2 linked regions of the Oryctolagus cuniculus genome follow. Each later gene encodes a partner of the first gene's protein in a complex. Links are inferred from orthologs where the notes say so. Each region holds a gene or a part of one and is shown on either strand. Other genes may lie near its edges.

Region 1 (3,500 bases):
GCACAGTTGCGGCCATTGCAGTCATCTGGGGAGTGAACCAGCAGATGGAAGACCACTGTCTGTCTTTCTGTCTGTCTATGTCTCTGCCTCTCTGTAACTCTGCCTTTCAAACAAATAAATATTTTTTAAAAAGTTTTATTTTTGAGCCAGTGTGATGCTGCAGTGAGTTAAGCCACTGCTTGCAACACGGCTGGCATCCCACACAGGAGCGAGAGTTTGCGTCCTGGCTGCTCTCCTTCGGATCCAGCTTTCTGTTAACGCACCTGGGAAGGCAGTGGGCAACGGTCTGAGCACCTGGGCCCCTGCCACCCTTGTGGGACACCAGGATGGGTTTCCTGGCTCCTGGCTTTGGTCCAGCCCAGCCATGGCTGTTGCAACCATTTGGGAAGTGAATCAGTGGATGGAAGATCTCTCCCTCTCTCTCTGTTGCTCTGCCTTTAAACTAAACAAGTAAGTCTTTCCAAAGAAAAGTTTTTTAGGGCTGGCACTGTGGCATAGCAAGATAAGCCATGGCCTGTAATGCTAGCATCCCGTATCAGTGCACTGGCTCAAGTCCCGGCTGCTCTGCTTCTGATCCAGCTCCCTCTAATGTGCCTGGGAAAGCAGAGGAAGATGGCCCAAGTGCCTGGGCTTGTGCTCAGGGAGACCCAAATGAAGCTCCAGGCTCCTGGCTTCAGCCTGGACCAGCTCCAGCTGTTGAGGCCATTTAGGGAAAGAACCAGTGGATCAAGTTCCATCTTTCTCTATGTCATTCTTTATTTTTTCTCTGTGTCATTCTCCCCTTCAAGTAAATAAATAAATATTTATAAAAAGTCTTATTTTATTTTCAACTTGACACATAAAGCATATGTATCATGGGGTGCAATGCGATGTCCTGATATCCTCTGACCTTCGAAAGAGCCCCTCCAGGGGAGACTCTGCAGCTCCCATCATCTCCTAAGTGTCTCAGCAGGAGTACGACTCACTCAGGGTCTCACAGCAGGTCACGGTGCAGCTGGACTGGAACCTGCTCTCTACCGCCCCCTCAGGCACGGCTCCTGGTACCCAGCTTTCCTCCATCACCTTCCCAACACCCCCAAACACCAGTGAGCTCACCCCGCTCAGGGTCAGTCTGCTGCCTGTGCTCCGGAGGTGCCGCTCCAGGCTGCTCGGCTGCAGGTCCTCCCAGCGCACCCGCCACAGCTCGGAGGCCAGCTCCTTCTCCAGCTGCATTTTCCTGGGGCATGAAGCCTGCGTGTGAGCCCCGAGCCCGGGTGGGGGCGCTCAGCAGCCCCTCCTCAGTGCCAGGGGACCCTGAGCAATGGATGGAGGAATCCTACCCCCTGGGCTGGGGCATCAGGAGACCTGGGTGAAACCTGCCTCGATGGGGGGTCTTGAGGTACTTAGCTCAGTGTCCTGGCTTGGAAACTGAGGGCCTTAACTACTGTAAGAGTGAACGAAACCTGGTGGGTGGGGGTGCCAGGCGCCGGGCGCACGCTCCAGGCGCACACTCCACAGACACTGATCCGCCCGCCCTCCTGGCTTTCCCGTTCGGTAGCCTCCCTTGTCTCTCCACCTTAGCCTCCACTGGAAGGCAGGAGCGGGGGCTCATCCAACTCTGCTGTGCTCTGCGTTCAGCACCTGGGACACAGCTAGCCTCGTCATCCCTCATCGACTACCACGGGCCACCTCCCACCTGGCCGGCGGTGGGAGCAGCAAGGGAACCCAGTGCCCAGGCCTGAGCCCAAGGTCCTGTGATGCCATTTCCCTACTTCTCTGCTCCTTCTTGGCCTCCCAGCCCCCAGCCCACCCTGGCCTCTCCTAACCCTGTCCCCTTTCTCCTCCTTTTCTTTCCTCTGCATCCTGAGGCTGCTGAGTCTCTTCTCCCCATCTTACCAGGCTTTCCCTCTGGGTCCCTGCTACCTCCTCTGTGATTGGTTCTCCAAGTCTCTCTCTCTCTCACATACACACACACACACACCATTCACCCCACCTCCGCCCCGGCCACAGCTCACCTGTATATGAAAAAGGAGACGATGAGAATGCTGAGCAGGGAGATACTGCCCACCACAGCCAGCACCTCCAGGGTGGAAAAGTGGTCTGCAGGAGAGAGGCCGCGTTGCAGCAGGAGAGGTGTGGGTTAGACTGCAGGAGGCAGAAGCTTCTAACAGACAGTGAGGATGAAGGGAAGAGAAAGGCAGGAGCAGTCTTTCCCTGGGAAGCAGTGTGGGAGAGGAGCCCTGCTGGGACTTCCTTTGGGGAAAGGGTGCAGTGCCTCTGGATTGGCTCCGGATCAGAGGCCGGAAGACAAGGAAGGGCCAGTCACCTTGGTTGCAGGCTGGGTCCTCGTTGTCAAAGCCGCATTTGGGGATGTCGGGAGGAGGGTACCCCAGGGGCCAGTACAGTTTGCGCCCTGACACGGCCAGCAGCTCTTGGGAAGTTCCGTTGTAGTTCAGAGCAACCTACAGGGCAGCAGGAGTGGTGGGTGGGCAGCGGCCTGGGCTCAGGGCCCCTGTCTAGTGTAACAGTCTTGCCTCCTGCCTACCCCTTCTCTGTTTCCAGGGCCTGTAGCTGGGTGGTCAACATTTACCCAGCCCCCACTGTGACTGGATACAAGGAGACCTCCTACCCATGCCCAGGGCATTAATGTATAAGGATCTGAAAACTCCTCCAGGGGTTGATAAAGGAAATGCCATACAGAACCCCAGCCCTACACTAGGAGTTTATGATCTTGGTTGCAGCACACAGAAAACAGGAAAAAGGTCCCTCCTCCAGGAAGCCTTCCCTGGATGATCTGCTCCTTGGTGCCTCGATCCCTTCTTGTTCATGGCACGCCTAGAGCTGGGTAATGTGCATTCCTCGTGGCCCCTCGAGGGAGTGGGTCCTGCCTACCACAGGGCCGTGCTGTGCTCCCTCTTCAGACACGAGCTTCACTCAGGGCGATGCCCGGAAATCCTCTCAGCCTGGAGCTGGGTCCTTTTATCCAGGGCTTCTGAGTGTCCAGGTATGGAGGGTAACCGGATAAACACCCACGGGGGCCAGCATTGTGGTGCAACATGTTGAGCCGTCACCTGCGACACCTATATCCCATATGGGCACTGGGTTCAAGTCCCAGCTGCTCTGTTTCCTATCCAGCTCCCTCCCTGCTAATGGCCTGGGAAAGCAGCTGAAAATAGCCCATGTACTTGGACACCCACAACCCACGTGGGAGACCTGGATGGAGTTCCTGGCTCAGCGCTTCAACCTGGTGCAGCTGCAGCCAATGTGGCCATTTGGGGAGTGAACCAGGGATGGAAGATTCTCATTCTCTCTCTCTCTCTCTCTCTCTCTCCCTCCCTCCGTCTCTCCCTCTCTCCCTCTGTAACTCTTTCAAATACATAAACAAATCTTTAAAAAATGAAACAAAACCAATACCCTGGCAGGGCTGGAGATGGGGCAGGGGCGATGACACTCCACCTTCGCCCCGTCTGCTGGGCACACACACTTACCTGGAAGGCCCCAGTCTCAGGGTCCATGTCCCA
Region 2 (3,015 bases), about 110 Mb from region 1:
CAGTTCTGATTTTAGAGTATTAATATTCTAATGCATGAGTGAAAATGTCCAATACTACATGGTTACTAGTAGTTTTATATATTCACTTATTAATAATGAACCAATAGACCTGAGCCAATGGCTTGAATTTATTGTTTAGATTATTTTTCATTTTCTAATTAAAGATTATTTTACTTCGATTGAAAATAGGAAGTAGAAGATAAACCGGGCAACCACAAGACATTCAAACTGTCAGGGCATAATAATGTGCCCCCTCTAACCTCATCAGTCCCCTTGCATGTTTAAAAATAAAAGGCACAAATCAAGCAAAAAAAAGAAAAAGAAACCACAATCCAAGTCATGGCCGCTGTCCGTGGTGCTGAAGTTTATTCATTTTTTTCCAATCGACTCTCAGTAACACGTGAGGATCTACACTAAGTGTTAATGCTTTGGGTGAGAGAGGAGAAGTCACAGTTTGACTGCTTTACAGGTAGCAAAGTGTGAGAAATGTTGACAAGAAGCTGCAGCTCAGATAAGGTGCAGTAACGACTCGATGCAATGAGATGAGACAAAGTGACTTGAGAGACGCAGGAGGAGGAGGGTTCCTGCAGTGGGCCGAGGGCACCTGGCCGCCTTTCTTCCCTGGCTGTTATCTTCGGTACTACAAAGTGAACACAAACACATTCGGCTTGCTGGCCTGACTGTACCAGAACAGTCAGCTTCCCATGACTGTGCCAAACCTCCTGACAAAGCTTCCCCACTAGTCTCCACTCCAGCCTGATGATGCCCTGGGTTTCATAAACCGGTAAACTAGTTACTCATCAGAGCTAGTAATGGCATTCCTTGTCAATTTCACTATTCTCATTCAGAATCTCGCAATTCTTGGCAAGAACATGTACCATCAATTAGCTATGCAAAGATGATGGGCCCTGTGAATGCTAGACTCTCCCAAAGTGACAGCCATTTCCTTCCTCCCTCCCTTCCTCCCTCCATCCCATCCTTCCTTCCTTCTTTTCTTTTCTTCTCTTTTTTCTTAGCATTTTTGCACCAGGATGTAGCCGAGGACGATAGCATTGTCCTGAGACTCGCACCCCCCCAAGTTAGGTCAGAAATCTCAGAACAAACAAGCTTCTACACAGGTCCCTTCTTGATGAAGGTGCTCCTGTGAGGATTCTTTGATGAAGTCTGAACCCCTGCAAACCAACGGTTTCCTTCCTCCCCACCCATTTGCACCCCCAGTGCCTCTTACCCGGAAGCTGTTGCAGCCCAGACCACTCTGGGCTCCAATCCTGTCGATCCTGCCCCCAAAGCAGCTGGACCTCCGCAGGCTCCGAGGGGCAGTGAGCAGTGCCCTCAGCTTGCTTTTCAGGAGAGCAGATCTCTCAGAGGCCTCCCAGGTGCTTCTCCCAAGGGCTTCCCCATCTCTCTGGGCTGGACTGACCTCCCCTGTCCAGGGAGGGACCTCAGGAAGGGGGCTGAGAGCCGCCCCAGCTTCATCACTCTGCTCACTTAGTGCTTGAGGGGGCACAGCTTCATCTTCAAAAGGCATCCTGTCCTCCAAGTGGTCCAGCAAATTCTTTACCAAAGGAAAACACAAGGAAAAGGAGAGTGCTCACTGACTTGGGCAAATCGAGAGGAACAGGCGAGTATCTAAAAGCGCCCCGGCCCCAGACTGTGCCCCCCTTCCTGGCCCTACCTTGAAGTCCATCAGATCTGCGTTGGACATGGCGTTGTACACTGGGTTAGCTCCAATTTGATCTGGATGCCAGAATGCCAGACAGAAGAGGAAGCTCACGGTGATGGTGGAGAAGGGGCCCATGCTGGTGCTGGTTGGGGGTGATGTGCCGTTAGCTGCTTCTTCCTTCCTCTCGGTTCCCCCTGGGTCTTTGTCCGTCACTGTCTTCCAGCTGCCCAGTGCAGCCTCCTTTTATAGCCCCTTGGCTCTCCGAGAGCACAAGAGGAGTGGAACCCTCCCCATTCTGTCACTTGCAGAGATAAAGCAGCTGAGTGAGGAGCCCACAGAAGATGCCCTTTTAAAGTTATCAGCCAGCAGAGCTTGTCACAGCCCCTCTGCCTTGAGCAGCCCCCGCCGCCCCCCGGACCCTCAGCTGCAAGAGCCACATTCTTGTTGATTTGCCTCAAGAGGCTCCCACTTCAAAGGTGTGAGAGGAGCAAAAAAGAGTCCTTGGTTATCTCCCTGCCATGCCTCAGGATTCTTTCTCCTGGGCAACGGGACCCACGCGGGGAAGCAGAGGGGCCACTTGGCCCAAGCCCAGTTCCCCCGGTTTGTTTGCAGCTCAGCTGTCAGGGGCTCCAAATAAGGGTGGGAGAGGAGGAAGCGGGCGGGCAGCAGGACGAGGGAGTCCAGATGCCCGGGCTGGCTTCATACCTGACTCATCAGCCAGGCGGCCGGCTGGCCCCAGACAGGCCGCCCTCACCCTGGCCAGCCCTCTCAGCAGCCAGGGGAAAGAAGTTATTTTTTATAGCCTTAAGTCAGCCAGGACACAAATGTGATGAATGTCCCAAGAATTCAGCCGCTAAATATAAATACCAAGGAAACCTGGGGGAGCGGGATCGTCCCTCCCCAAGTCTCCTTGCGGGTGGGCGCTGAAGATGCTGCCGCGTTCACATCTCTGCCTCACTGAGTGGGGAAACCCTGCCTCCTTCCTTCAACTCCAGCCTGGGATTGGCCCCTGTGTTCCCAGGGAAGCATCCTCGGGAAGTTGGCTAACGGAGGGAGGGTGTGGGGGCAAGAATGGCACTGATCCCTGCCGTCTTTCACGTCTTCCTCTGAGACCAGGCCAAGTACTGAGCCATGAGCACCCCAGAAGCATCGGGCAGCAAGGCTCTCCACACTTAGCACGCAGCCTCCATTTGCTGAAGTCAAGGTTAGCATCCCATCCAATATGACATAAACTTGGGCTGAGGGCTTCAGAGACTCATAGCCCCAAGTGAACCATCTCCAGGGCTTTATTTTCGTTATCTGCTAAATGAGGTTACAAGGTCGACACCTGCCCTGCCTGCCTGATTCTCAGG

Evidence for each region.
Region 2: the proteins of NPR1 (region 1) and NPPA are in contact, whole or in part, in a crystal structure (PDB 7BRG), measured with the Rattus norvegicus proteins. The link is inferred for Oryctolagus cuniculus from reciprocal best matches to the Homo sapiens genes NPR1 and NPPA. Residues at the interface, in NP_036745.1 of Rattus norvegicus: Asp90, Val115, Tyr116, Ala119, Pro120, Arg123, Ala139, Leu140, Gly141, Ile142, Val144, Tyr148, Tyr182, Asp184, Leu186, Gly187, Asp188, Asp189, Arg190, Phe193, Phe194, Val196, Glu197, Tyr200, Met201, Arg204, His213, Gln214, Glu215, Phe216; in NP_036744.1 of Rattus norvegicus: Arg126, Ser127, Ser128, Cys129, Phe130, Gly131, Gly132, Arg133, Ile134, Asp135, Arg136, Ile137, Gly138, Ala139, Gln140, Ser141, Gly142, Leu143, Gly144, Cys145, Asn146, Ser147, Phe148, Arg149, Tyr150.

What each region holds. Positions count from the first base shown.
Region 1 is NC_091438.1:44,638,343-44,641,842, forward strand, and holds part of NPR1 (atrial natriuretic peptide receptor 1), read right to left. Parts: coding exon 3,468-3,500; intron 2,442-3,467; coding exon 2,306-2,441; intron 2,080-2,305; coding exon 1,995-2,079; intron 1,217-1,994; coding exon 1,096-1,216; intron 1-1,095. UniProt on the Homo sapiens protein: Receptor for the atrial natriuretic peptide NPPA/ANP and the brain natriuretic peptide NPPB/BNP which are potent vasoactive hormones playing a key role in cardiovascular homeostasis.
Region 2 is NC_091438.1:156,614,928-156,617,942, reverse strand, and holds NPPA (natriuretic peptides A precursor), read right to left. Parts: upstream 1,882-3,015; 5' UTR 1,799-1,881; coding exon 1,676-1,798; intron 1,556-1,675; coding exon 1,229-1,555; intron 641-1,228; coding exon 629-640; 3' UTR 501-628; downstream 1-500.